Rattus norvegicus: one gene and its partners. The main gene of each other region encodes a partner of the protein of the gene in region 3 in a complex. Links are inferred from orthologs where the notes say so. Each region holds a gene or a part of one and is shown on either strand. Other genes may lie near its edges.

What was found.
Region 1: Dnttip1 (region 3) and Zfp541 share a complex: the UniProt entries of both Homo sapiens proteins name them as parts of the histone deacetylase complex. The link is inferred for Rattus norvegicus from reciprocal best matches to the Homo sapiens genes DNTTIP1 and ZNF541.
Region 2: Dnttip1 (region 3) and Cir1 share a complex: the UniProt entries of both Homo sapiens proteins name them as parts of the histone deacetylase complex. The link is inferred for Rattus norvegicus from reciprocal best matches to the Homo sapiens genes DNTTIP1 and CIRSR.
Region 4: Dnttip1 (region 3) and Sap30 share a complex: the UniProt entries of both Homo sapiens proteins name them as parts of the histone deacetylase complex. The link is inferred for Rattus norvegicus from reciprocal best matches to the Homo sapiens genes DNTTIP1 and SAP30.
Region 5: the proteins of Dnttip1 (region 3) and Mideas are in contact, whole or in part, in a cryo-EM structure (PDB 6Z2J), measured with the Homo sapiens proteins. The link is inferred for Rattus norvegicus from reciprocal best matches to the Homo sapiens genes DNTTIP1 and MIDEAS. Residues at the interface, in NP_443183.1 of Homo sapiens: Pro63, Ser66, Leu69, Leu70, Ala72, Val73, Leu74, Pro76, Ser77; in NP_001036783.1 of Homo sapiens: Gln768, Asp771, Leu772, Thr774, Ala775, Ser778, Ser779, Ile802, Leu803, Leu806.

What each region holds. Positions count from the first base shown.
Region 1 is NC_086019.1:85,897,486-85,903,367, forward strand, and holds part of Zfp541 (zinc finger protein 541), read left to right. Parts: intron 1-907; coding exon 908-966; intron 967-1,288; coding exon 1,289-1,448; intron 1,449-3,027; coding exon 3,028-3,346; intron 3,347-5,882. UniProt on the Homo sapiens protein: Transcription regulator which is essential for male fertility and for the completion of meiotic prophase in spermatocytes.
Region 2 is NC_086021.1:78,585,087-78,590,968, forward strand, and holds part of Cir1 (corepressor interacting with RBPJ 1), read right to left. Parts: intron 4,653-5,882; coding exon 4,579-4,652; intron 3,986-4,578; exon of another isoform or gene 3,961-3,985; coding exon 3,950-3,960; intron 3,858-3,949; coding exon 3,793-3,857; intron 3,467-3,792; coding exon 3,418-3,466; intron 1,878-3,417; coding exon 1,760-1,877; intron 1-1,759. UniProt on the Homo sapiens protein: May modulate splice site selection during alternative splicing of pre-mRNAs. Regulates transcription and acts as corepressor for RBPJ. Recruits RBPJ to the Sin3-histone deacetylase complex (HDAC). Required for RBPJ-mediated repression of transcription.
Region 3 is NC_086021.1:173,898,254-173,904,881, forward strand, and holds the start of Dnttip1 (deoxynucleotidyltransferase terminal-interacting protein 1), read left to right. Parts: upstream 1-2,837; 5' UTR 2,838-2,890; coding exon 2,891-2,995; intron 2,996-3,062; exon of another isoform or gene 3,063-3,144; intron 3,145-3,518; coding exon 3,519-3,589; intron 3,590-4,450; coding exon 4,451-4,547; intron 4,548-6,628. UniProt on the Homo sapiens protein: Increases DNTT terminal deoxynucleotidyltransferase activity (in vitro). Also acts as a transcriptional regulator, binding to the consensus sequence 5'-GNTGCATG-3' following an AT-tract.
Region 4 is NC_086034.1:37,760,321-37,765,534, forward strand, and holds the end of Sap30 (histone deacetylase complex subunit SAP30), read left to right. Parts: intron 1-537; coding exon 538-663; intron 664-1,010; coding exon 1,011-1,109; intron 1,110-3,169; coding exon 3,170-3,292; 3' UTR 3,293-3,505; downstream 3,506-5,214. UniProt on the Homo sapiens protein: Involved in the functional recruitment of the Sin3-histone deacetylase complex (HDAC) to a specific subset of N-CoR corepressor complexes. Capable of transcription repression by N-CoR.
Region 5 is NC_086024.1:109,517,236-109,523,419, reverse strand, and holds the end of Mideas (mitotic deacetylase-associated SANT domain protein), read left to right. Parts: intron 1-740; coding exon 741-890; exon of another isoform or gene 891-2,002; coding exon 2,003-2,215; intron 2,216-3,621; coding exon 3,622-3,818; intron 3,819-4,113; coding exon 4,114-4,273; 3' UTR 4,274-4,409; downstream 4,410-6,184.

The DNA of each region.
Region 1 (5,882 bases), on a different chromosome or scaffold from region 3:
CTTCCAGCCCTGGGAACCCACAAATCCTCTGTCTCCGTGGCTTAACTGCTCTGGACATTTCATGTCAGTAGAGTCAGATGTGTGGTGGTTTATATCACATGATTAAGGTCCATTCATGTGGCAGCATCTGCCAGTGCTTCATTTTTTTAGAAATTAAAAACAAATTTTACATTTATTTAGAGTCAGGATATGTAACTTTAACTGGCCTGGGACTCGCTATGTAGTTCAGGTTAACCTTGAACTTACAGAGATCAGTTGAGATCAGCCTACCTCTGCCTCCTCTCAGTGCTGGGATTAGAGACTGTTTTGTGGGTGCATATTCTTGTTTCTCTTGGCTAGACCCAAGGACTGGAATCATCAGTCTCTTGCTCAATGTTTAAAGAGTCACCAGACTACTTTCTAGAAAGCAGCAGTTTTCTAGTGCCTCTGCTGTGCACAAGTGCCCTGTTTCTCCATGCTCTTTGCTGTGACAGTCACACTAGGCTATGCAATGATATCTGCTGGTGCTGCCACTGTCATGCCCTGGCATTGCTGATGTTAGAATCCTTTCCTGGGCTTATAGACCAAGTCTTATTGACTTATACACGCAGGTGTGCGCGCGCGCACACACACACACACACACACACACACACACACACACATTGTGTATGTACATCAGACATCAGACATCAGACATGTGACTTTCTCTTCCATTGTGTGGACTGCCTTTCCATCTTATGTGTGAATATTTGTGGGGTTGAAGCTTTCAGTTTTAATGAGTCCAGTATGTCTGTTGGGTTTTCTGCTTTGCTTTGGTGTCAAATCTGAGAAATCATTGCCCAAAGCACCATCAAGCAGGCTTCCCCAATGCTGTCTTCCTTTTTCCCTTGTCTGGCCTCTGATGGCTCAGATATCTTCTCATCCCCAGGGTGGAAACATCTACAGACTCCCCCATCCAGTGAAGGAAGAGAGCTTGGCAGGCGGATGGTAAGTTTAGGAGCTCTCATGCCCCACCAAAGCACTCCACTGGAAAGTCCTCTAGACTCTCTGTACTGTCTAAAGAGTGAGGGAGCCAGATGCCTCTAGCCCTGCAGAGGACATTTCAGCCCTTGGAAAATTGAATATGGTCTTCCATTTTCATTGTTTAGTACAAGTTTTCAGTGGATTGGGGTTACATGCAAAAAAAAACAAACAAACAAAAACAACCACAAAACCCAAACCAAACCAATAGCGAAGACAGCAACAACAAAGCAGCAGTCAGGGCTAGAGCCTCATTCTCCCATTCTCCCTCTGCCTTCTCTATCAACAGCCATCAGCCAAATGGGACTCCCACAGATTGGATGGAGTCAAAGAGCACTTTTGTGTGCAAGAATTGCAGCCAGATGTTTTACACAGAGAAAGGGCTGAGCAGCCACATGTGTTTCCATAGTGACCAGTGGCCATCACCTCGAGGGAAGCAGGAGCAACAGGTGAGGGGCAAATGGTGGCTTCTGTAGCTGGGTTAGACAGGCTTTGGAAGTGGATGAAAAGACAATGCCATCCATCTCAGGTTAAAGGCAGCATACTGGCAAGGATGCTGGGTGACATGAGGGCCAGCCAGGACCATCTGGCAGGCTGTAGTAGCCCCACTGGCCCTTAGTCAGTTTTGTGTACTTCCTATGTCATCAGGAGCCACTCTTCTCCCTAGCTGCTCCTTATCTTGGAGCTACCAACTCTGTATGCTCAGGTATCTGGCACAATTTTTCACTGAGGCCTGCTGGGGACAGGGGTCCCCAAAAGCCAAAATGTCCTTGGAAAGCATAATCATAGCTAGGGAACTCAGCCAAGATGGGTGCTTCTCCAGCTGCTGTTTCCTAAGAAAATCCCAAACCAGAAACACCCAGAGGTCCTCACTCTAGAAGCCTTGGTTTGAACCCACGGTCAGCACTGGCTGAGCCCTTATCAGGCCTAATGGTGTGAGTGCTGGTGACAGCACTGATATTGACAGCCCAAGTCTTGACCCTGGTCAGCAATGACCCAAAATTTGCAGAGCTGGGATGTGGGAGAAGAAGGAACTGAGGGCCCAGGCAGGAAGGTATGTCAGAGCTAAGACCTGGAAGAAGAGGAAGGCCGGCAGGGAGGAAGGAACAGTAGAAGATATGAAAGTCATTATGATTTCAGTGATGGATCTCCCTTATTATCTTTATTACTGGACCCTGTGTCAGTGCTAGGCCAGTGGTGGCTCATAAAAGACACAGGCCTCTGGGAGAACACATTATTGTTGCCACAATACTCTTGTTTCTTGCTCCCATTCTTTTTTTTCCTTTTTTTTATGATTTTCTTTTCTTTTTTCCTTTTAAGATTTATTTATTTTATTTATTTGAGTACACTGTAACTGTCTTCAGACACACCAGAAGAGGGCATCAGATTCCATTACAGATGGTTGGGAGCCACCATTAGGATGCTGAGAATTGAACTCAGGACCTCTATAAGATCTGTCCGTGCTCTTAACCACTAAGCCATCTCTCCAGCCCTCTTTTTTTCCTTTTAATACATTTTTTGTTGTTTTCTAGGTTTTTATTTGTTTGTTTGCTTGCTTGCTTATTTATTTTGTGAGACAAGGTCTCTATTATAGCCTTGCCTTACCTTGAACTTGCTATGTAAATGGGGATAACCTTTTACTCCACTTTGCTTCTGCCTCCTGTGTGCTGAGATCAAAGGCATACACCCTGTATCTGACTCTCACTCTTGGAATGCTTGGCACTTGAGCCACTGAACTGCCCCAGTGTCTTCCTATATGACTGTATGAGGAGGCCCCTGAGCCTCAGGATGGCACCATACTGAGTATGTTAGTCAGTTCTGGCTCATGTGGGTCTGGGCTATGAATAGAAGAAGGTTCTACTCAGCTTCCTGTGCTAACCCTGGGTATGGCCATGGCAGACATATATATCCTCCTCCTCTCTGTCCCTATGAGAAGCCCCATTTTCCCTTCCCTGAACAAGCTGAAGACTGAGTTAGTATAACAGATGGTCTCAGGTGACACCTGTGGTTCTGTCCTCTCTTCTTTAGGGACAAGAAAAAGACGGGGAAGAGAGAGACAGCAAGGAGAGCAGCCAATACAGAAAGAGGAAGAAGCGGCCCCAGCCCAAGGCCCTGTTTGCCCCTCCTGCACCCTCTGCCCTTGGGGAGCCAGGCCCAGGAGGGTGCCACCAGAGCTGCCTACGCTCTCCTGTGTTCCTGGTGGACCACCTCCTCAAGGGCTTGTTTCAGTGTTCTCCCTACACACCACCACCTATGCTTAGCCCAATTCGTGAGGGCTCCGGGCTGTACTTCAATACACTCTGCTCCACATCCAGGGCTGGGCCCCACCTTGTCAGCCCTGTACTTGGTGAGTGAGGCCAGAAAGCTACTCTATTCCAGGCTAAGGTGCTTCTCCTATGGCCCACAATCCCTGTGCTTTGCTGTATATGATCCAGCCATTCTTTCCAGCCTTGTATGTGCCTGTTCTGGGGGGACTCAGTGCTACTCAGAAACATACCAAGATGATTCTTCTAGATGTTTGATTGGTTTAGTTTGGCTTTGGTTTTGGTTTTAACATCCAGAAAGAACACATAGAAGCCCTTCAGCCTAATCCCTCTTGTATTCATTTTATAACCACTCTATGGATACAGAGATACACACCATGCAGATCAGCCATTTCAAGCTTGTGCTTTGAGCTTATTCTCTAGCCGCTGAGCTTCCCTGCACACAATCTTTAGAGGGTTTTTGCCATCCAAGAAGCCTGTTTTCTGGGCGGCTACACCACCCTTTTGGCTTTCATTCTCACAGTCCTATGTATCTCCCAGCCTCAGGGAGCCACTCTAATTCCTGTCCCTATAGCCTTTCCTATGCTGGTTATTTCATATAAGTGACATCATACAACTGTGGCTTTTTATGTATCCCCCATTTTACTTAGTTTATGTGTTCAGGGTTCACCAGGTGGTTGTGTGTGTCAGAACTTTTTTTTTTTTTAATCAGTGAGTAATAGTCTACTCAATGGCCAGACCACTCTTTTTAATTATCAGTTGGTAGGTATGGGTATTGTTTTCCTTTTGGCTATTGTAAATAATACTGTAACAACACTTGTGTATAACTTCCTGTGGGGGTCTATGTACCAATTCCTTTTGTGTAAATACCTAGAAAGAAATGCTGGGTTACATGGAAACTCTATTTAACCATATAGGAAACTGCCAAACTGTCTGCCAGAGTATTTGTTCCATTTTGGATTCCTGCCAACAATCGGGAGAGTCTGGATACCTCTGCCCCTTACCTGCACTTACAGGCTGTGATTCTTTCTAGCCACCCAGTCAGATGAAAGATGCCTATTGTTATGTTTAGATTTGTATTACCCTAGTGGCTACTGGTGCCAAGAATCTTGCTGGGTGTTCATTGACTATTGGTGTGTCCTTCTTTATAAACTAAGGAGATCTGGCTATTCTCCTAATGTGCACTGGGTTTTATATGTGACCACTTGACTGGCACAGAGTAATGAAGAGCCATTCCTGTTTACTCTGTTGGCAGGCAGGCCTTGAGTTCACACCCCTCCTACCTCAGCCTCCGGAGTAGTTAGACACATAGTATTATATTTTTTGAGAGTTTTATAATTTTGGTTGGTTGGTTTGGTTTGGCTTGGTTTGGCTTGGCTTGGATTTTCAAGACAGGATCTCTCTGTCTAGCACTGACTGTCCCGGAACTCACTCTAGATCAGGCTGGCCTCTAACTCATAGAAATTCACCCGCCTCTGCCTCCCAAGGGTTGAAACTAAAGGCATGTGCCACCACTGCCCAGCTATAATTTTGACTTTTAAATTTATATCTTTTTTTTATTTATTCATTTTATATATGATGAGTACACTGTAGCTGTCTTCAGACACACCAGAAGAGGGCATCAGACCCCATTACAGATGGTTGTGAGCCACCATGTGGTTGCTGGGATTTGAACTCAGGACCTCTGGAAGAGCAGTCGGTGCTCTTAACCACTGAGCCATCTCTCCAGCCCTTAAATTTATATCTTTAATCAATTTCCAACTAGATTTGGGATATTGTATGAGATAAGGATCAAAGTTCATTATTTTGCATGGATTCAATTCACTCCAGGATTGTTTGCCAAAAATATCATTCCCATCCTATTTAAAAAAAAAAAAAAGCCTAGGGTAGTAGCATACACTTGTACTCTCAGCACTAGGGAGACTGGGGCTTTCCTGGTAGGCAGTTTAGCCTGTTTAGTGAACTGTAGGCCAGAGAGAGATCTTGTCCCAGAAAACAAGGTAAGTGACGTCTGAGGAATAACATGTGACATTTACCTGAGCCACCCCCACTTGCACGCTTTTCCGCATAAATGTGCACTTGCACACACAAACACACACCTCCATTAATTATCAGTGTGTATGGTTGCTCCTCAGACTAGGAGTTCTCTATTATCTGCATGCTTATTCTTACGCTGCTACCATAATGCTTTCACTACTGTGGATTTGTGTACGCTTTCTAATAGGTGTATTTGAATTCTTATGTTGTTCTGTCTTCCAGGATTGTTAGCTGCCATGGGTCCATTGCATTACTATAGAACTTTAGATCAGTGGTGATTTTGATGGCTACTCTGTTTAATATGTAGATACATCGGAAAGTATTACTATCCTAAATAATTTAGACCTTTCTATTCATGATGGCCTGGACCATCTTCCCATTTATTGAGGACTTGTGGCACTTTGTCTCTCATTCTCCCAGGGTGTGTCTTACATATCTTTGCTTGCTGCTGTTTTTTGAGATAGGATCTTTATACAGCCCAGGGAGGCCTGGGACTCCCCACTCTCCCACCTGTGTCTCCCAAGTGATGGAAAGGCAGGCACATGCCACCATTTGCTGTGCAGTAGACGTCTTTCCTTAGAA
Region 2 (5,882 bases), about 95 Mb from region 3:
AACAAACTATAGTCTTAAAAGAATTAATTTTCAAAAGCAGGCATGATAGTTCAACCTGTAATCTTAGCACTGAGGCAGGAGGACTGCTACATGTTTGAGGCCACTCTAGGCTACACTTAAATATGTCAAAACTAGCACTGTTTGCTCTTTCAGAGGTCCTGAGTTCAATTCCCAGCAACCACATGGTAGCTCACAACCATCTGTAATGGGATCTGATGCCCTCTTCTGGTTTGCAGGCATGCAGGCAGAACACTGCATATAAAATAAGTAAATAAATACATAAATAAACAAATCCGTCTTTTTAAAAAATGTCAGAACTACCTCAATACTGCCCACCACTTCAGTAATTGGTTTTAAAGTAGAATACGTGTTCTACCAGGGAGCTCCATGACCATCCCTGCACACGTGTTACATAAATGCTGACTTTGCTAACACCTTACTGATAACATTTGTGTTACTTCTAATCTTTAACTACAAAGCTTGTGTTTTGCCGACTACGGCATCTCCCTGGCCCTGTTTTTAAAGTTATTTTACCACTACGTCAATACTAGATATATAGTGCTTTTTTTTTTTTTTCTTTTCTTTTTTTTTTCGGAGCTGGGGATCGAACCCAGGGCCTTGCGCTTGCTAGGCAAGCACTCTACACTGAGCTAAATCCCCAACCCCATGTAACCTGTTTTATGCTACAGAGGTAAGCATGTTATTTCCACTGTGAGCTGGGCTTTGATGAAGAACTAAGAAGGTCCTGAGGAGTTTCAACTGAAGCTTGTAGGTCAGTGCTCAGCTACTGCTGAAGCACGCTGCGTACTGCCAAGCTCCTCCTCGCCATGACGTTCACAGATTCCACCTTCTGAGATGGTAAGTCCCAAGTAGTGCTTCTTCTCTAAGTTCCCTTGGTAATGGAAATTACCCATTCAAAGCAATAGAAAAGTAGCTAAAACGCTAGTCCTCCTACCACAAGAGAGATGTGGAGACAGGAGACTGCCTGGAAGCTTACAGACTAGCAAGCCTGGAGTAGACAGCATCCAACACAAAGGGAACTTGTCGTAAACAGTGAGGAGGACAAGGCTGACAGCAGCAGAGGGTGTCCTCTGCCTTCCTCATGGACACTGGCCTCCACTCTTCCCGGAACTCACACATTTGCATTCATATGCACAAAAGTGTACACACATGCGAACACACACACACATACACACACACACACACACACACACACACACACACACACACACACACACACACAGTGAGTTTGGGGCCAGCTTGGTTTTTATGAGACCTTGCTTAAAAAAAAAAACAAAACAAAAAAACAGAACAAAACAATAAACAGAGTTCACACAGACACTTGGCTAAAAAAATTAAACTCTTGCAGAGCACTTCAAATTTAACACATGGGGGTTGGGGATTTAGCTCAGTGGTAGAGCGCTTGCCTAGCAAGTGCAAGGCCCTGGGTTCGGTCCCCAGCTCCGAAAAAAAGAAAAAAAAATTTTTTTTAACACAGACAGCGAAGGATTTCCCACTTACTCCTCTTTCAGGGAGGCAGGGAGGAGCGAGTGGCATGCTAGGGCCTGAACCCAGGACCTCATACACATAACACACAAAATCCTCTACTGCTGAGTCACACCACTGGCTCTGGTCATTCTATTTGGGGAATGAAAATTAAACTCAAGAGCAACAAAAGAGTTCAGGTAAATAAAAACGTTATTTTATCTTTCCTTTTTTGACAAAATTCTAAAACAAATAACTTTTGTCTAATACCTACCTGAGCCATCAGTAGGAACTGAACTTGCATTGATCCCGGAAAGACCAAACAAGGGGCACTCTCGATCTGTGTTCACATGGCCCCACTTGTGACATTTAATACACCTTACATTTCGAACCTGAAAAATTATAATAAACATTGTTTTGATTCTCATCTCACTTAGATCCCCCACCCTGCTTTTTTCTTTTTCGCTCTGAAGACAGGTTTTATTATGCAGCCCTAACTGGTCTAGAACTTGCTTTGTGCATCAGGTTGGCCTTGAACTCACAGAGATCCATCCACTTACACTTCTAGATCATTGGGATTAAAACATGTACCACCACATCTGGCTAAATTACTTTTAAAAAAGATCTCCAGGGAAAGCAATTCTATAATTATAGTAGGTAATTCAATGTAAATACTAAAATCTTGTTATAAAATGTCATCTAAAAAAGAAATGGTAAAATATCACAAAGAGTCATGGCATGGTTTAATGTTATGTTCCCTAATCTTAATACCCTCATTTAAATCTTCCTCCTCCCTCGTTACACAGGATAGCCCAGGTTACGCTTTCCATCTTCTTGCCTTGCCTCTACCTTTCACACACTGGAAAAACAAGTCATGCCACCTACCCAGCTACTCTTTCCTTCTCCTTTCTTTTCTGTCCTGCTCCAGCCCCTCATAACACACAAAGTGAGTGTTTTTTCACTGAGCTATTATTTCAAGCCCTGACGTTTCACATTTCTAAGCCAGTGGTGAGCAAATCTACTCTGTAAGTAACAACGCTGTGTTAAGCTGTGTCTGTTTGCAGCCACTCCGCTCTGCTGCTGTGACAGACGCAGCAGGGAAGCTGCTACAGACATCGCACATGACTGAGCAAGGTTTCTCACGGGATCAGCCTGGAGTGACAGGTGACTGTTTCTGAATCAGTAATCCTTTTCTTAAAGAAAATTATTGGTTATTTTATTTACTTACATTTCAAATGTTATCCCCAGTAATGTTTATATTGACATCTTTTCTCGACCTTGAGTCAGTTCTCTATGACTTGAAAGCCGGAGTGACCGCATCATTACCCCTTCACTAGCTTGATCCTCGTCTTCCATGTGCCTAGCACGGTCATGTTTTCTCCTCAGTCCGATCATTTGACATAATATAAACCACAAAGTCCTTTTTGAGCTTAAACACTATGATGCTAATCTTGGCTGGCAACCTCCCTACATATGGAATCAACTCAAACTGTTCTACACTCCAGTGAGGGATATTCTTGATCGGATTATTAAACCTGGGCCACACAGGAAGAATTCAGAGACGGAAGCTTTGAGTTTTGCTTGTTTGCACTCTTTCTCTCACTAGCAAGTTCAAGTTGCTCTATCCTGTTGCTGCTCATATTAAATCCAACTTCTTCAAGATTCCAATGCAGACTAAAAAGACCAGCAGCTCCCTAAGAATCCTCCAGGACTGCAGACATTCAACCTCATGGACCAAACAGCTGACTACCTGAACACATCCTCTAAGGGAGCATCATAAATTCCTCTCCTGTGTGTGTGTGTGTGTGTGTGTATTTCTCATCCTATCAGTTTTGTTCTTTAGAGAACTCTAATACAAACATTTTGGGGAAAATAATGTAAAGATACATGTGCTAAATAAAATTATTCTTAAAGAGTAAATGTGCCACTTGCCTGAATACCAAAGGGCTGATCTCTGATGTTCATGTCATCTTTAGCATATCTGTTAAGTACAAAACAAACATATGACTAAGAACAACGTAACAAATTCAATCAGCTAACCCAAAAAAGGTTAGTTTTTAAACATTATAAAGTGTATTATTACTATAAAATAAAAAACCAGCATCAATTTTTAAGTCTGATAATGTAGTTTTAAAGAACGAGCAAGCACATAAATCCAGGCTTGGATGAAGCACACTGTTTGCATGAGGTAAGTCATTAAAACACCCTTTCAAATTAGTCACTTGCTCTGGTGAGTGAACCTTAACAAGCAGGAGGCAAGGAGGACTGGAGACAGCCATATGCATTCCCCATAAGAACCAGTCTTACTTTTCCCTTGGAGCACCTTTCTGCCATTCGAACTTGTATTCTGTCTCTCCTTCCGTTTCTTCTTTCTACCACAGTCAGTAAAAAAAAAAAAATCTGTCAACTGTCCATAAAATCACAATCAACTATAAATCAATTCAAACAGAGAAAAGTACTTTACCTCTTTGTTTTCTTGATTGCAGATTCAAAGCACAGGGGGAAAGCAGGACAAGTTAGAAATGTCAGCAGAAAAGTCTACCTTACCACTGAAGGATACAATACAACATTGAAGTATCGTTCAGAATAGTCATGTTAACTCCTAATTTTTAAGCTTTTATGTTTTCACTGGCAGTGATAGACTTTGCATTTGAAAATGTATTTTAATAAGGACTACAGATATGTTTGCACTGTGAAAGGGCTGAACGTTTATCTGCCAGTACTGAGCATTCCCCCAAAGGACATAAGCTACTACATTGGAAACTCTTTATTTTACTTTGCTTGTGACAAGATTGTCAGAGCAACAGCCATGGAAAAATACAAATACCCTCTAAAAATACTGTCTCGGGCTGGAGAGATGGCTCAGTGGTTAGAGCACTGACTGCTCTTCCAGAGGTCCCGAGTTCAAATCCCAGCACCCACAGAGTGGCTCGTAACCACCTGTAATGGGATTAGATCCCCTCTTCTGCATATCTGAAGAGAGTGATAACGTACTCGCATTCATAAAATATACAAATAAATTAATTAAAAAAAATACTGTCTCCTCTTCCAAATCTTTACAGGCAATTACATCAAAGTGCAAAGGAAAGATACCTTTTTTAACTCCTGGCGGGGCTTCATACATGAAATTCAGGCCGTTCTTTACACGCTCATCTCCCATAAGCAATCTGAATGAAATAACGATAAACGGTTCAGTCAAGGAAGAAGATGACCACACACTATCTCAAAAGGAACCCTGAAGAAATCAAGACAAACCCTGAACAGTGCTACCTTACTGGAGACTGGTTGTGTCAACCTGAGGCTTCCAGTCTCCCTCCAGTTCTCTCAGTAAGAAAAGAAAAAGATGATGTAGTTATTCTAATAAGATTTTCTTTAAAAATGTACTCTGTTGCTGAAAAAGTTTCGAAATCCTACATGCCATTAGATATTTTGGTGCCACAACCTTTACTTAAAAAAAAAAAAAAAGAAAAGAAAGAAAAAAGAAAAGAAATGTAGTTAATTTCTTTCTGGCTTTGTGTAGCTCTGGCTGTTTGGAAACTCAGGTTGTGGACCAGGCTGGCACTGAACATATAGATATAGATCTACCTGCTTCTGCCAGAATTAAAGGTGTACACTCCATGGTCAGCTATTACAGTATTTTTAATTGTGGGGTGTGTGTGTGTGTGTGTGTGTGTGTGTGAACATGTGCACACGTATGCGAATGTTCATGCACGTGGAGGCCAGAAGTTAAGGTGGGGTGCTGTTCACCTTATTTTTAAGTCATTCTGTGTGGTATGTAGAAGCATGTCTGCATGCATGTAAAGGTCAAAGGACAGATCTGTGGGAACTCTTCTCTGCTTCTTCCTCTATATGGGTCTCAAGAGATTGCACGTGCCTGATCCATCTAGCCAGCCCTCCATCTCACTTTTTAGACAAGGTCTCTCAATAAACCTGGGCTTCCCAATGGCTGGACTAGAACAGTTAACCAGCACGCCCCAGGAATCTTCCTGTCTCTACCCCTAGAGAACTGGGATCGAGGCACCTCTCACACATCTGTTTTCTTATGTGGGGGCTGGGAATCCAAACTCAGGTGCCGATGCCTGCCTGACAAACACTGTACAAACTGACCTACCTGCACAGCCCGAGAGCCGGATTCTCTAATGAGAACAAAGATGAGGTTTAACAAAATTCTGTAATAGGCTAATACAACGAATGCCTCCAACTTTCTTAGATTTTTTGGTAGTGATTGAAAACTCCTTCTGTAGGTTTTGTGCAGAGCATGCTGTTGGGAAAAGAAGTCCACTGAAGACAGGATGACTCTGCTGCGTTAAAGATAAATGCCTAAAGTCCAAGTATTAGAAAAAGCTAAAGTATGGAATGTCTTTTTATCTGGAAAAGGTAACCACAAAGGGTATACT
Region 3 (6,628 bases):
GGGAACTTTCCTGGCACTACCAAAGAGCACATGTGATGGGAGGGACCAAATACTGCCATGCAATATACGTAACACTTGTTATGCAGACATACACATAGCACTTGTTATGTCGATATCTACATAACACTTGTTATGTACGCATATACATAACAAGTGATGAGGTCCCCTGGGAGGCTGGAAAAATGGAGAGGTAGCCTCTGGGTTAAAGGTCAAAGAGAGACCAGAAGGGCTTTGGAAGGATTCAGTTGCAGTCAAAACAACAGAGGGTGAACCAGACCAGCAGTTCTTGCTGGGTTCACACTGGGATTCTGAGGGAGAGGACCAGAGATGAGAAAAATGAACAGTCCACAGCTGGGGCTTGGGGGTGTGAGGGGCCGAGGGCTGATGACTCAAGCCAGCAAGTTGATTATCCTCACAGTTCTTTACACAGCCTCGGATGGAGCAGCAGAATACGAATCAGCAAGGTTACAGGGAAATCAGCAGGACTGCAGGGAGCTCTAGCTTCTTTTTTGCAAGGTGTATTCTGGTACGGTAAGCAAGCATTCCATACCTCAGGGTCTGGAACAGTTAACCACAGCTTACATGGAAACCTGGTCTCAGCCCCCCAGAGCCCTGGCACCAGTCCACTGCTGGCTTTGCCAAGAATGACCCTGACAGGGAACAAAAAGCTCTGTGTTCCTTGTTCCGTCCACAGGATCTAGAAGGGCCTCTAGACAGAGGGAAGAACTGGATGGACAACCTGAGAAGAAAATAGCCGAGCTAAGGATATAACTTAAGCACGATTCCTGTCCATCTCTGGGAACTGTCACAACCCATGGGAAAGCAGCATCAGAGTGTCTCAGCATCGATACAAGAGCACAAAAAGTTTGCAGCTTGGTCCCCATAAGACCACACATGCCACTCTTAGACAAAATGAAGGGCAGTCATCAAACTCAGAGAGGACAGCTGCTGTGACTCTTTCACATGTCTCCTTTGTCTCCTTTTCCCCTGTTTCTTCTTATTTGCATAGCGTGTGTCCTCGGTTGGCTTTGATGTCTAATGGTGTCCACTGACACTGCCGAGCCCAATAAGGTTAGGGGCAGAGTATAGGTAGAAACAAAATAACAAAAAAATCTTCATAGATCCAAAACCAGGCATGGTAGGGTTTACTTGTGATTCCAGGCTCTGGGAGGCAGAGAAAGGCAGGTAAATTACAAAACCGGCTTGAGCCAAAGTTCAAGGCCAGCCTAGAGCTACAGAGTAGGCTCTTGCCCAGGGTGTGGGAGGTGGGGAGCCACCATCATTTAAAGCAAGGAAGTGCCCTTGTTAAAAGGTGGGTGTTGGGGCTAGAAAGATGGCTCAGAACTCAGGGAGCCTGTGTTGTTCTTGTAGAAGACCAGGGTTCAGTTCCCAGCACCCACACGGAAGTTTACAATTATCCATAACTCTATTTCCAAAGGATCCAATACCCTCTTCTGACCTCTGCGGACACCAGGCACATACATGATGTATGTACGTAGATACATATGTACATAATACGCACACACTAGCAAAACACTTGTACACATAAACCTTTTAAAAAGTGGATGTTGGAACATGGAAAAAACTGGTATTGTTATTATCTAATACGGACTTTATGTACAGTACTTTAACCCACACAATAATATTTCAAAGGAAAACGTCCTTAAGTGGAGGCTGAAAATTACTATTGTATTAGAATAATCTAAGGAGTTGCTTGTACCGTAGTTTTAAGTGCTTTGTATAAAATAACCCAGCCCTAATATCAACCATGTGACTCTGGGGTCAATTCCCAGCACCACATAAACCAAACATGGTGCGGCATACTGTGGAGGTGAAGGCCGCTCCTTAGCTACACGGTGAATTTGAGTCCAGCCTGGAACATTTGAGACTGTGGAAGAATGATCGTGCAATGAGTGAGTACGCAGGAGAACAACGGTAGGTGATCCAGTCCCGCAGCCAATGTTCTTAGGCTTTGACTTTGAGACAGTATCTTGCTATGCTGCACAGAGTGAGCTTTCTACTACTTGTTCCTCAGTGTTGGGGTTATGTTATCACACCAGGCCCTATCCAGCATTTATGATCATATCACATCAGATTTGAATCTAGATCTTTCCTCACACAAAACTCGTACACGTTACGCTACCCGCTTATTGTAACCCGAGAAGAGTAACTTCATCACCCGTAAATGAATCCAATTCTTTCACGGACAGCTCACCTCTGAGACAATGCTAAGGGGGGCTCTGGAGAACGCCACAGTTGTTAAATCCTCTGTCCCCTACCTATCCCAGAATCAACCATCTAGAGGAGAGAAGGTCAGCTCTCCAGAACAGGACTAGTTTGCAAGCCCAAACCCAACCTTCATTCTGCTGCCTTCCGACACAAGCGGCAGCCCGCAAAGGCTAGTGATAGGGTGCTTAGGTGTTTGGGCATTTCGGGTGGCACCAGCAGCCCTTCTTTTGTTGGCTTTCCTGGTTCCTGAGTCGGACTATTCCAATTCGGGAGAGGCTGGGCCAAGTTTTCAGATGTTCCTGCGGTTTTCAAAGACTGAACTTCGGACTGCCCTCATCCGAAGTCCTATGCTCCCCAGCTGAATTGTATGCTCTGCTGCCCTCACACCCGCCCTCGTCCTTTGACTGAATGGACCCGAACACCCACACTCGGTCCCCAGCCGTTTTTCTCCCAGAGATCCGGAAGCCCCGACGTCGTGCCCTACACCAAAGATCGAGAAAACCACTCAGACGCGGCTCCTAGGCGGCAGTTCGGTTCCCATAGCAACCCTCGGAGCACCCGCATCCCGCTTCCGGCCGGGTGGCTCGGGCGCTCCCGTGACGTCACGGCGCCGCTTTCCGGTGACTGAGTCGAGCTGAGGTTGTTGTGGGCCGGGGGCGCCATGGGGGCGACTGGCGACACCGAGCAGCCGCGGGGCCCCGGCGGGGCGGAGCGAGGCGGCCTGGAGCTGGGCGACGCGGGCGCGGCGGGCCAGCCGGTTCTCACGGTGAGGGCGCCCGGGCGAGGCCGGGGCTCGGGCCGGGCAGGGCCTCGGGCTCCCGGGCCCCGGGCCCGCGGGCGAAAGAACGCGGCGGCTGTGCGGCTCTGGGGGTGCCGTTTTCTCCGTGTGACGACCCGGATTCAGAGTCTAGTTAGGTGACTTGGGCCTGATGTGACACCCTCTGGGCGCCAGGTTTCTCTTCTGTGAAATGAACAACATTAACCCGAGCTTGATGGAGTTGTGGTGGGATGGGCTGATAAAGGCGGGTAGAACGTCCTGACTCACCCGCCTCATAAGACCCTCGGTAAACGCTGCTGCTCTTCCAGAAAAAGCGAGATTTGGACATTGGTGACAGAAAACATTTTCCCAGTTCCTCCACCCTGACAGGGTCTTCCAGCCACTGAATTCCCCTTCACCCCAAGGTGGGAGAAGTGAGAAGCAGGAACGTCTAGGTTTCGCTCCATACTCACTTTCTCCTCATCCTCACTCTGAGAGGCCTCGGTGACATTTGCCCACTTGGTCCCCACAGAACCCTTGGAACATAATGATCAAACACCGGCAGGTGCAGCGAAGAGGCCGCCGATCTCAGATGACCACAAGGTAAGACCGATATCCGTTATGTGGACTTTGAGTGCTTTGAGACCCCCAACTGCAGGAATTTGAGATCAACAACACGTAGAAAGAGCACAGAAATCGGGGGAAGAGAGACTCCGGTGCTCTAACTTCCTGTAACCTTGACAGTTATTGCCCTAACTCCTCTACAAAGCAGAGAAGGAATAAAAAGTCGAGTACCATCTCAGCGATTGAGATCTGTAAGTCAGAGACTGTGAATTCAAGTTTCAGGCATCTGTTCTAATGCAGACTCTGATGTTTGTTAACTGGATACATTCGGGCAAGCCTTTAGCTTTTCTTAGATTCTGTTTTCTCAGCTTTGACAGGGGACTACTAGTGAGTGTCCGGTCTGGGGAAGGGGAAAAACTGCGTATGAGCCTTTGGAATTCTTGTATTTTTGACCTGGGGTAGCGATAATCATTTATTAATGATTTAATAATCATTTACTAATTACAGCGCTTGGCAGAGGCAGGTGGACCTCTGTGAGTTTAAGGCCAGCCTGATCTATATAGTGAGTTCTGAGACAGCCAGACTACATAGTGTGACTGTCTCAGAAAAAGGAAAAGAAAAAATATATGTGTATATGTTATAGTTCATAAAACACTTGGAAAAGGGTTGGGGATTTAGCTCAGCGGTAGAGCGCTTAAGGCCCTGGGTTCGGTCCCCAGCTCCGAAAAAAAGAAAAAAGAAAAGAAAAAAAAAAACACTTGGAAAATAATTTGCATTTCACAGAGTTACAATGAAATAAAAATTTAAAATCCCATGTCGCCAACTGGCTGAGTAATCTGGGAATGTATGTTTGGAACACTCCCCTGATTCTGTCTCCCCCACCCCCACCCCCAAATGCAGTTTCACAGATCCAGCCATCTCTATGGATCTCCTCCGTGCTGTCCTGCAGCCTAGCATCAATGAGGAGATCCAGAGTGTCTTCAACAAGTACATGAAGGTGAGGACATGGTGATTAAAGCCAACAGCACTGCTGAACAAGATCGTACAGCCAGGTGCTGCAGTGTGCCCAACCATGCAGGAGGCTGAGGCAGCTGACAGCCAGCCTGGGCAGCACAGTAAGACCCCTTGGACGAGGGAAAAACAGAATGGAGGCTGGAAAACACAGCCTCTGTGGTTAGGAGTGCTTGCTGCTCCTGCACAGGACTCAGTTGTAGTTCCCAGCACCCACATCAGGCCACTCCTAGCCACCTGTAACTCCAGGTCCAGGATCCAGTGCTCTCTTCTGGCCTCTGCAGATTATACCTGGAGTATAAATTCCACAGGTACATACACAAAAATTTTTTGAAAAATTTTTAGAAAAAGCCTGGTGGGGCTGAAGACATGGCTCAGAGGTTAAGAGCACTGACTGCTCTTCCAGAGGTCCTGAGTTCAATTCCCAGCAACCACATGGTGGCTCACAGCCATCTGTAATGAGATCCGATGCCCTCTTCCGGTGTGTCTGAAGACAGCGACAGTGTACTCATATATATAATAAATAATTTTTTTTAAAAATTCTTAGAAAAAGCCAGGCATGGTAGCACATACCTTTAATCCCAGCACCCAGGAGAAAGAAGCAAGCAAATCTTTGGAGTTTGAGGTCAGCCTGGTCTACATAGAAAGATCCTATCAGGAAAGAAAGAAGAGAAAAGAGGTGGGGAGATAGAGGGTACTTCCAAGCAGGATGGTCCTTCCTCCTGTCAACAGTCTCTGTTCACATGCATGCTACACAGAGGAAATAGGCTTCCATTCTGAATATACACCCCAATAACTTTTCCACTGCTTTTTTTGCCAAATGGTTTCATTTTAATGTATTCAACACCCTTGCTTAGACCATGAAAAGTCTAAAGCCATGAGTATAAAGCCATGAGTTTGATCCCAAACACTGGAAAAAATAGTAACTCATGATTAGCATATTGTCAGGCATGTCTGAGATGGTGACAGTGTATAAAACAAATAATGCCCTTGTTCACTTTAAACAGTGGTAGGGAATGAGGGAAAAGAAGAGGTGACCACTGGGCTACTCAAAAACAGAGCTAGGGTGCCTGTTCTTATTAGAGACACTTGTGCATTTTGAGGGGGATTGCTTGGTAATGCCAATTCACAGTATTGATTCTTCCAGTCCATGAGCTGGGGGGGTGGAGGGGGGTGTCATTCCATCCTGTAGGGTCTTCACCAATTTCCTTCTGTTTTTAAAGCTTTACTGGAAGATTTATTTTGTAATAATTGTGAATGGAATGATTTCTCTGAGTTCTTCCTCAGCCTCTTTGCTGGCAGTGTAGAGAAAGGCTGTAGGGTTTTGAATGTTGATTTTTTTTTTTTTAATTCTGCCTCTTTGTTGAAAGTGCTTGTCAATCCCATGGTTTTCTGGTGTGTAAAGTGCTTGTCAATCCCATGGTTTTCTGGTGTGTAAAGTGCTTGTCAATCCCATGGTTTTCTGGTGTGTAAAGTGCTTGTCAATCCCATGGTTTTCTGGAGTGTAAAGCCTCATCTGCAAGTAAGCTCCGCTGGCTGCTTTCTTCCTTGTTGTGTGCTTTGTTTTTGTCTCTCTTGTCTGGTTGCTGTAGCTGAGACTTTACTGTACTGAATGGGAGTGGAGAGTCTTGTTCCTGATTTCAGTTCTGAGTTTCCTGTAGTTAATAGGATGTTGGCTGTAGGTCTGTCATCTGTAGCCTTTGTTATGTTGGGATACATTCCATCTCTCGCAGGATTTTTATCACAAAATGATGTTTTATTTTGTCAGAAGCCTTTTCTGCATCTAGTAAGATGATCATTTGATTTCTGTCTTAAGTCTATTGCTTAATGAATTCCATTATTGATTAGCAAATGTGAATCATCCCTATGTCTCAGGATTAAAGCCTGCTTGCTCATGATATTTACCATGTTTTCTTGAAATCAGTTTGCAACTCTGTTGTTGAGAATTCTTCTTCTCTCTTCTTCAAGGAGCTTGGTTATAATTTTCTTTATTCTGTTTTGGTATCAGGATAATTCGGACTACATAAAAAGAAATAGCTGCAGATCATGTGAAGGCTTTGAGGCCAT
Region 4 (5,214 bases), on a different chromosome or scaffold from region 3:
AAACATAGGATATGAATATGAATTCAATGACACATTCGTAAAAAAATGCATACTTTGTATCTGTGTAGAATTTGACTATCTAATTAGAAAGATAAGGAAGCATATGTGCCATTAATATAATTTGCTGTTCTCAAGTTAGAGAAAATACTAACAAGTACAAAATTGTGGGCAATGTCACCTCTCCCCTTAAGTCAAAACCAGCAGGAGCTAACTTATTTAGGTCACCCTCGATGCAATTTGGTGACAAAACACAGAGGATTGGAATTTCTCTTCCTCTGCTTGTCTGCCTGCCAGGTGCCTGCCTGAGTTCTCCAACCATTCTTCCTACCAGCCCATCACTTTCTACTACACCCCTCCCCCAATCTCCTTAACAGTATCACAGATTGCTAATGTTACAGCAGTTTAGTATTGGAAAGAAACATGCATCCTCTTGCCAGTGCCATTAGACTGTTTTTAGTGAGCTGCCTGGGCCTGTGCAGTTTACTGACCTTAGTTTTCTGGACTCACAGTCTTTTAACCTTTCTTTGTCCTTTCCAGGCAAGGCATCTTTACATTTGTGACTATCATAAGAACCTAATTCAGAGTGTTCGAAACAGAAGGAAGAGGAAAGGGAGCGATGATGATGGAGGAGACTCACCTGTTCAGGACATCGACACTCCAGAGGTAGACCGCAGGGTTTTCTATAGTGAATTGTCAATCATAATCACACTGGCAACTCCAAAACCGTTCTGTAAATATTTAACCATTTAAAGCATCTGAGAAATCTCAAAATTAAATACAGCCAGTAAGTTGGCTTTATATTAATATTAAATCTCAGATGACAGTCTTATAGTTCTTGATATACAACTTCCCCTTTTATTTCTCCAAAAGTTTATAATATGTATTCCCCAAAGATGGAATTGTTTCATAAATTACAGGTCTGATTTTGTAAATGAAGTCATGTGAAGTGCCATACAGATCAGTGATATCTTTTTAGCAGAGTGATCTAATTCATGTTATTTTTTTTCTAGGTTGATTTGTACCAATTACAAGTAAATACACTTAGAAGATACAAAAGACACTTCAAGCTTCCAACCAGACCAGGTCTAAATAAAGCACAACTTGTTGAGGTATATATAAATATGCTTTATACTGGGAAACAATCCTGTTTACAGCAACAAGGTATCACTAGGTGATGATGAAATAGAGAAATGCAGTATACTGAATAGTACATTACATGCAGTAAAGTCAAAGTTAATAGGCCTATCGTGGAAGAGTAGAGATCTTTAGAAACATCTGTCTGCCACTGAGAAAAATCTCTTCAGTGAGTACTCAGTGGATTATATTCAGAGTATGTACAGCGTCTTTTAATAGTGATTTTTAGAGTAAATATTCAATAAGAAATTTTTATCATCGTTCTAGAATTCTGTTTTAAATTTCTAATTATTCAATGAATATTTATTGAGGGAATATAAATATGGAGTGGAATTGAAATGGAATATTTCCATTGCAGGATGGAAAATAAATAGCTTATAAGTATTTATTAGAATTTAGTTTTCAGAGATTCTGTGGAACAAGTCTGCAGGGTTTTATTACTTTCTAGCTTTACTTTCAGATACATTTGCCTTTGTTAGGAGTTTTAAGTAGAGGATACTTTCTTTACATCAAGAGAAAGAACAAAAATAAAGCTTTAACATAAAGTTTGTTTTATATGGGACTTAGTTCCTTTGGTGTATTTCAGAAGCTAATAGAGAGTGAGTGTGTGTGTGTGTGTTGAAGAAGTAATAAAGCCACAAGATCTGTGAACGGTTAAAATAACAGATTTAAGTAATTATACTTTTTATTCAAAGCAAACGTTTCCATGGAATAGACACATCAGAAGTCTGTATGTGTGAATCAACACATACATATTTATGTAAGAGTGTGCCTGTATTCTTCAGCTGGACTTTAATACTTAGCCTGCATTTCTAATGTGCAGAAGTAAAAGATAAATGAGTTACATTTTTTTGTAGAAAAGCTCTTTAACATTAAAATTCAGTATGCTAACAAGCCAAATCTCCTATATTTCTTGCCTAGGCAACAAAAATATTTTTTTCTTTAAATTTATTTAAAAGTTCTCGTCCTTTTTCGGCTGCATAGTACATAAATGTGAAGACATTCCTTACTGTAATAAAATATACTAGTCACTAATCTAGTACAGTCACCCCGTTCTATAACAAATAGCCAGGATCTGATGCAAAGTTATATTTAAATATAGAACTCAAACTCAAAGCCCTTGAAATCTAGTCTTGAAAGACAGTTTTATTAGTTCAGATTCCGATTCTAGAAAAGCAGGCAGTCTTCAGTCTACGAATATCAGCTGCGTGGTTTCTCAGCTGTTGGTAATTGTGGCGTACATGTTAGATTTGTGCAGTAAAAGTCAGGGAAACAGTCCTGTTGAATATCCCTCCAGCTCCTTTAATTTTCCATTCTTAAATTTTATTCAGAAAAATTTGCAAGAAACTTAAGAAGAATTAATATCAATTGCACCAATGATATTTATGGTATGGTTTATTACCAAGGTTTTTTTTTCTTTTTATTAATCTTTTCCTGTGACTACACTCTAAATGTCTAAATGTCTTCATGTGATGGACATCAGTTCTTCTGTTTTATTTCATTGATATTTAATGTTTACGAATATGTAGCTTGGGCTGGAGAGATGGCTCAGTGGTTAAGAGCACCGATTGCTCTTTCAGAGGTCCTGAGTTCAATTCCCAGCAACCCCATGGTGGCTCACAACCATCTGTAATGAGATCTGATGCCTTCTTCTGGTGTGTCTGAAAACAGCTACAGTGTACTCATATAAATAAACAAACAAAAAAATAAATCTTCTTGAAAAAAAGAATATGTAGTTTGCAATCTAAAGTTGTAAAGTTTAAAGAGAAAATACTTATAACAGGTGCACATTAATCAAGTTGACCAAAGGGAGTAAAATACACAGAGTCAGAGCATATTGAGTTCTTTGAAATCAGATTCTTTTGTTTATAATATCTTGTTTGTGTGTGCTTTGGAGCGTGTTGATACTCTGTTAAGACAGCTTAATCTTTAAAAGTGTCATGTGGTCACATAACTCGTTGGCAAAGTAGTGTCTTCTACTCGGCTCCCAGTGTCTGCTCTATCTAACTTAATTTGTCTGTTTTTTAATTTATAGATAGTTGGTTGCCACTTTAAGTCTATTCCAGTGAATGAAAAAGACACCTTAACATGTTTCATCTACTCAGTGAGGAACGACAAGAACAAATCAGATCTCAAGGCGGACAGTGGTGTCCACTAGGAGAGATGCCCGCACGTAGACGTCTGCTGTCAAGAGTGTTTACTGTTCTTCCGATGTAGAAACGTTCTTGTGTATTTTTTCTACAGAGGATTTTCTTTGGCTTTTTGTTTTTGTTGCTGTCGTTTTTGATCCTGATAATTAGTTGGAAACTCATATAAACTGAGCTTCCTAGATTAAACATATTTTAAATAAAGGTTATTACTATTACAGCTACTTCAGCCTGTTTATTTTATGAAACTTTGTTTTTGTTTGAAGCTTTCTGGGGCTGGCATTAAGATGTCAGGGAAAGGATCTTATTTTGTAAGCCTTTCTTTAAAATTCCAAGTAATTAAAGGTAAAGGAGGAATGACAGACATGACCCAGTTGCCTTCCCTAGGCCAATTTGATTTGTAATTAAGCATTCTTGTTTTGTTTTTGTTTGTTTCTCTGTGTAACCCTGGATGCCCTGGGACTCACTCTGTACAGCAGATTTTCTCCCACTCAGAGATCTGCCTGTGTCTGCCTCCTGAGTGCTAGGATTAGAGGCAGGCACCGCCAACTGCCTGACTAGCATTTTGTTTTTTAAAGTGCTTTACAATGTATGTTAGCAAATGTGAAAATCAGTCTTTCATTACTTTTCAATCACTTTTAAATTTCCCTTTATGCGTTGTTATTCCTTGAGGACCTATGGAAAAAAAAGTTGTTTTTGTGCCTCTCTCTTTCCAAAGACACCCCAACACCTCAGCAAAGACACCCAACACCCCAGCAAAGACACTCCAACACCCCAGCAAAGACACCCCAACACCCCAGCAAAGACACCCCAACACCCCAGCAAAGTTAAGTGCAGTGCTTGGTGCAAGTGGGCCGAAGGCCTGGAGCTAATTACTTCCTCAAACCAAGGTGACCTGAACAGAGAAACAAACGCACCTTCTGGCTATTTGCTTCTCACATGCAAATGATGCTAATAAAACTGGTCAGCTCTGATTGTAATCCCCGCACTCTGGAGGCTGAGGCAGGAGGACCACACATTAGAGAACATCCACACTGCATATAGCAAACCTTGCCTGAGGGTGGAGAAGTCTAGGTGTGTAACAAGCTCTTTGTTTAAGGGTTGGCACTGCTTTATATTTTTTTATGCTTCATTCCCCGTTGGCATTTGATTTGCAATGTTTTTTCCCTCATGGGATTGTATTACTTGGCTAAATGCTTAGCATCACGCATCAGGGTTTTAGCTTGTCAAAAGCAAAAACAGCTCCAGGAAAATGTCCTAAGAATGCACGCAAATTAGGTTGGAAATGAATATGACTACTAAAGTAACTCAGACTTATTCAAGACGAAGGTTTGAACCTGTGACGTCCTGGCTCTAGGAAGATGAACAAGTGCCACTCATGACACTGACCTATTAGTGCCAATAGCTCTGAGGTGTAGTACTAAAGACCACCAAAGGTCACCAGCTGGAAAAAAAAATGGAGCAGGAGCTGAGAAACAGCTAAAGTACACTTCTACAGTACCGATCCATGAAGGAGGGGAGTCTGCTTAGATTCCGGTTACATTCTTGACCAGAAAATAGAGTAGCTGGCGTTTGGTTCTTAGCACCATTTAAAACGTCCTTAGAAGACTATACATGGACTGACCCTGGACTCTGACCTCATAGGTAGCAATGAATATCCTAGTAAGAGCACCAGTGGAAGGGGAAGCCCTGAGTCCTGCTAAGACTGAAACCCCAGTGAACTAGATTGTTGGGGGGAGGGTGGCAATGGGGGGAGGATGGGGAGGGGACACCCATAAAGAAGGGGAGGGAGAGGGATTAGGGGGATGTTTGCCCGGAAACTGGGAAAGGGAATAACACTTGAAATGTATATAAGAAATACTCAAGTTAATAAAAAAAAAAGTCCTTAGAACACTGATGAGCGGAAGTCATGGTTCCAGGCATTGTGAAAAGC
Region 5 (6,184 bases), on a different chromosome or scaffold from region 3:
ATTTAATGTAAGCTACAGCTGAGCCTGGATGTATAGGCCTGTAATCGTAGCTATTTGGGAATATGATGTAGGAGGATTACAAGTTCAAAGCCAGCCTGGACTACTAAAGTAAGTTCAAGGCCAGCCTAGATAATCAGGGGTAGGATTAGAAGTACTATTTAATGGTAGAGCATTCGCCTAGCCATGTGCTAGGCCACACACTCAATGCTAACACAGGGGCAGGAGGATTATTTTCAAATAAAACTTCCCTAAGCATTGGCAAGCAATTTGAAGGCACATTGAGAGGCCTGTGGAGATGGTCTAGACATCACCTCACTTAATACATATCAAAAAGCAGAACGATGAGCCCCCTTTTCACCTGGGGGCTCCAGGAGGAGCCAGGTGAACTTCCAAGAAGCTTGAGGGATAAGAATGAGTTCAGTTACTCTGCTAGGGTACAGATTCCGACGCAGCCAGGGCTCCTGAGCCCCTGCTGGCCCAGTGCAGCCTCTCATGTTGGGACTCTCATAGGTCACGGTCCTCTCTAGTCCACAGTCAAATCTACCCAGAAATTCTGGTCCTTCGTTGCAATGGTGCAGAAGCCTCCATTAATTGCATTGGCCTGAGATTCGTTGTGGAGCAGGCATTGAGAATTTGGGGTTTGGGACTTAGTTTTTTGCCTAAGGCTAAAGGGAACCAGCATCGATGAGAAAGGTGAACCACACCAGCTCCCTCTGACCTCCCTTCTGGCTTTAATTCAGATCCAGACCAAGACTGTGGCTCAGTGCGTGGAGTTCTACTACACCTACAAGAAACAGGTGAAAATTGGCCGCAACGGGACACTCACCTTTGGTGACCTGGATACCGGTGCTGAGAAGTCCGGCCAAGAGGAAGTCGAGGTGGACGTTAAGGTGAGTCCTTCCTGGCTCTGCCGCCTCACTGTTGGTAACACCTGGGGCCAGACTCCTGGCATTTTATACAGGGCTGTCAGAGGAGAGCAGGTCCCTGAGAGCTCCGGGGAGCTGGTTGGTGGCCCAGGCCCTGAACCTTTTGAGCTCTCTGGCATTGACTGTCCAGGTCACAGTGATGGTGCTGATGTAGAACACTGGAGAGTCTGAGGCACAGCTTCATCTTACTGCCTCCTCCGAGCAGACCACTCAGGCCACATCCGGGCTCCCGCTCTCCTTGTACCACCTTTATGATTTCTGCTTTGTCTGTGTGTTAACACACACCACGATTACTGTTCCTGTCATGTCCCATACAACTTTTATTATTAATTTTTTTTTGTCAGCTCATTTTTTTTTTCTCAAAAGGGAAGCTTTATATTACAGTCATAAATAGAAACCAGTTTTGTTGCTTATAAATAGAAGGTACTGGGAAAACTAAGTACACATGAAAACCAACACGGTTACTAAACGCCAGCTTCACGCTGCAGTTGCCTGCCAGGACTCTGAGACAGGGCTGGCTGCAGATTGTCAAGTCTAGGGAAGAGGCACATTAACACCAACCCTGACTTGGTCTTTGAAAGACGCTGTGATTTAATTTTGCACCCATGAATCCTCTTGACGTTGTCTCTAAATTACAAGTCAGTACTTGGTGGCATTCTACTTTGAAATCAGGGAGTAGTTTGGTCCCCATATGGCAGATGAGGAGTTAGAGATACAGAATGTGTCACAGACAGTTAAGCTGGAGCTCAGAGCTCCTGCCTGGCCCACGAGGTCACTCTGTCCAAAGGGTGCTCAAAAGATTCTGGGCATCTATCCAGGAGGCCAGGTGGTTTGTGGGTCCTGGCATGCCCCCTCCAAACCCCTGGCTCAGTCTCACCCTGAGAGCACCCAGGGTCAAAACTATCATCCTCTTTCCAGGCCAAGGGGCCATAGGAAAGCTGTGACTTATGACAGAGGTCCGGTACAAGAGGCTGGACTGGGCCAAGGCAGGGCCGCAGACCGGGCTGGTGCTCCAGAGCCTTGGCCGGATCAGAATCGGCCCTCTCGGGTGACTGAGCTCATTCTTGTCCCCATAGACTTCTCAGAAGTTCCCAAGGGTGCTTCCTCCCAGAAGAGAGTCCCCAAGTGAAGAGAGGCTGGAACCCAAGAGGGAAATGAAAGAACCCAAGAAGGAGGGGGAGGAGGAGGTACCAGACACCCAGGAAAAGGGAGAGCAGGAGGAGGGGCGAGAGCGCAGCCGTCGGGCCGCGGCTGTCAAAGCTACACAGACACTACAGCCCACTGAGGCGGTAAGTGACCTCCACCTTTCCCCCCAAGGGCAGGGCAGGAAGACAGCGTGAGGCCTGGGGTGTGGGTGGGAGGACAGCAAGACCACGGTGACCCTCATGGTGACAGACCAAGGTACTTTATGCTGGTAACTTACTTGGGTCTCAACCCTGTGTGGTCAGGGCTGTTATGAGTCTCATTTTACAGCCAAGCAAACTGGTGGTTGAAGGTTATGTAGCTTGTCGACAGCCTGATTCAGTGTGCAGCTTATCTTCCCATTACGAAAAATGTATTCACATGTAATTATATGTATATACGTGCGTGGGCATACTGTATAAATGTTTGTCTGAGATTCAGAGGAACAAGGCCTTGTAGAAGAAAACCCAGTGGTTGCGCGGCACAGGGGAAGCACTCCGAAGCTGAAGCTCACTCGTGGCTCCCCTAGAACACGTGCTTGACAAGAGTGTCCGGAGTAGAGCTGAGACTGTGAACCCCAATAATGGCCCTTTCTGTTCTTGGCTGAGTGCTTCATGTCCGCTATTTTACCAACCCCTCACAGTAGCCGCACAGCGCTCCCTCCCACTCAGCAGATGAGGGAAATCAGGGTCGGAGATGCTGTTTGACTTAGTTGAAGGTATACCCCAGGTCTTTGTGCTGTCTCCTTCACGGACTGAGCGAGGCATCTCATTTTAGCTTCCCTGTCAGAAGAACTCTCCCTGGAAGTGGGAGAGATGGAATGCGTTTGCGCACTCTACCTGCAGAACGCCAGTCAGCCAAACACAGCTGCCTGCTTCCTGAGCGTCACTGCTGGCCTGCAGGAGCCGTGTGGTGTCTGCTGTCCAGTTCTGCTGTCTTTGTGGACACTTTGAGGGGTGACCCAGGGCACATTTACCACTTCTGATGGCCATCTGGGGTTTCTGGCCTGAGACCAAAGCAGATACCTTGGGGTGTGTGTACACCATGGCTCCTCTACTTTGATACGTGTTCCCTCTCTTCTTTTTCCCCACTTTCTCAGCAGGTGACCATCACATCTGTCCCTTTCATTACAATGGGAGCTTTCTGGGGACAGGGCTGACTTCCTTACCACCTGGTACATCATGTGAACACGTCTCTCTGGCATTGAGATATGATTGGACTAAATGTCAAAAACAAAACAAAACAAACAAAAATCCAACAACAACAACACCCCTCCCCCCTGAGCAAAGTCAGAAGTGTTAATGGCTTTAACTGCCAGCACGTGGCACAGAAGTATGTGTCACCACTTTGGGATAGGGCCAGCTGCAGTTGCCTCCTGAAGCTGCCAAGTGGTCCTATCCCTGACTATTTGGCAGGAATGTGTGACTTTTTAGGGCCCCCTGTTCCCTGAAATGCCAGAATTCTGGCTCCACACTTGCCTCTAAAACACACCCTGTTTGTCACTTGTCTCCAGGCCAATGATGTCCTCATTCTCCGGAGCCACGAACCCAATGCCCCGGGGTCTGCCAGTGTTCAGACCTCAGAGAAGCCAAGGGAAGGGCCGGGGAAGTCACGAAGGGCTCTGCCTTTCACAGAGAAGAAGAAAAAACCGGAGGCATTTAATAAAACCCAAAACCAGGAGAACACTTTCCCTTGTAAAAAGTGTGGCAGGTAAGAAGTCCCTTCCTTGTCTTCACAGGAACCTTTTAAGGTTGGGGCAGGGACTTGGACGCAAGCGGAGGATTTAAACGCTGCTGGGGGCGGGGCTCTGGGGATCTGCTTTTTGGTTGGCTCCTTGGGTTTCCAGGGTCATGACGTCGTGGGGCAGGCATAGTTTGAGGGGCGGAGCGACAAACTCCCGAGTGGGCGGGCTAAGGGTAGCGACTTGGGGGGGGGGGGACCGGCTGGGGTTGAGGGAGGAGAGTGAAGGGGTGGCTCTCACCCGAGCCCTTCCTGCCCGCTGCAGGGTGTTTTATAAGGTGAAGAGCCGCAGTGCTCACATGAAGAGTCACGCAGAGCAGGAGAAGAAGGCTGCAGCTCTAAGACTGAAGGAGAAGGAGGCTGCAGCCGCCGCCGCGCACCAGCAGGCGCTGAAAGAAGAGAGCGGCGAAGGCGAGAAGGGCTGAGGCCCTGCTGGATCCTCTTGCCGGGCTCCCCAGAACTCTGTACCTGGAACCTCTAGAGAAGGCCAGGAGAGGATCACTTGGACTTTGCTTTGCAAAACAAATCAAATAATGAAAAATAAACAGGCTCTTTTATTTACGAAGGCCAAGGACAGTGTTAAGGGCTGCAGGATCCAGTTCTCTCAGTATCTGGTTTGTCCCGAGTCGTTCTGCTTTCCTGGAGCCTTGAGAGGCCAGGCCCCTTGGAATGGGAAAGAGCTCTGAGCTACTTCTCTGATCTCTGCTGTCGCATCTGTGCCTCTTGTATCCCAGGTCCTTAGGAAGCCACCACGGCAAGCCAAGCACAAGCTCACCCTGTGACAGCATTATTCCTCCTTCCCCAGAGGACCTGGAAGGCTGTGCAAACCTTTTCCTAAACCCAAAGGGGGCTCCCTAGAGAGTGGTGGCCTTAATCCCTGTGCTGACCTTGTGAAATCATGCTCAGGCCAGAGCTGCTCCAACGATCCAGTCTTAAGGTCACCACTTCCTTAGTCGGGATCTCGGAGGGCTATTTCAACCCCTTTGCTGCTTGTCAACAGCCCATCTGGGGCTGTAAAAGTTTTCTCAGACGTTTGGAGTTCATGCCCCACTCTCAGCCTGCTACACCGAGGGGAACTGTTCAGAGGCCTGAAGGTGCAGAGCTAGGCCTGAGGGACCTTTGGACAAGCCCATGGCTACCATTTTATATCTTTGAGTCCAGGAGGCTGCTGAAGGAGCCTCAAGCAGGTCCCAGGGAGGCCTGGCCTGGCCTTGGGTGCCAGCTTCCTTCTTGCCTGTCGTGTTCTCAGTAGCTGCCAGTTACTCCCACTGTACCCTATTTGATGCTGATATTCACGCCCCCACCCCCCACCCCCAATACGGCATGCTGGAGATTTCTGGATCCTTCCCTGGGAGGGGGATGTCTCCTAACTAGATGAGACAGGAGCCTTCATTCCTTGACTTGTCATTTGGGAACTATTTATTTATTTCTTAATATTTAATTTTTAACATCCTCAGGGACCAGGGGCCTCTTGCTTTCCAGAGGTCCAAGTGCATTTATCCCAAAATAAGGCACCTTCTTGGCATCTCCAAATCCTCCCCCAGTTCCAAGGCCCTGGGGTCCCTTACTTTGTGACTCTTAGGTGCAGGAGTGATAAAAACTGACGGAACTGGGAAGTTGGGAGTGTTCTCAGTCACAGGAAACTAGCAGATGTGGGTGAGATCAAAGGCAGGGCTCAGTCCTGCCCTTTCTGTACTCTCAAGTGCTGGAGGGAGTTGGCAAGAGGCCAGAATTCTAGTTTTATTTATCAGCCTGGAATCTGGCTTGAAGAAACCATATTTGGCATGGAATTACTGAAGGGTCAGAATGTTCTAGAGGCCCCTTCACTTTCCAGTTCCACAGGAGACTTAAAGTTACTTTTCTGATATGACCACTTAACTTTAGTTGTACAGAAGGAAGTCTAAGTGAATGTGTGTCGGACTGTTCAGGGTGTTAGTAAGAGCTATAAAGGATTCCTTCACCATTCCCTAGGCAATAGTCTACAGCCCTGTTGGGAACTGGAGATAGAGATGGGGTTTTTTGTCTTTGAGCTACGGACTATTGGGTGTTTCTTAACATTCATTTACGCATGAGTATGGTTCTATGAGAGCTGCCTATGGAAATAACAAAAAAGTCCCCCTAGATACCTGAACAATTACTTAACCTTCAGTTTCCCTGCTTGTTTCCTTCACAGGCTTCTATAAACTCAAAGTCCCGAGATTACAAAAATCTGGTCCCCTCAGAAGTAGAAGGGCAACAAGTTTAGGATCTCTTCTAAACCACTTGTATAGCGAGTGCCTTCACAGCTTAGCCCCAAAGTGCCACTTAGGTTTCCCAAGATTCTTTTCCATTAAACC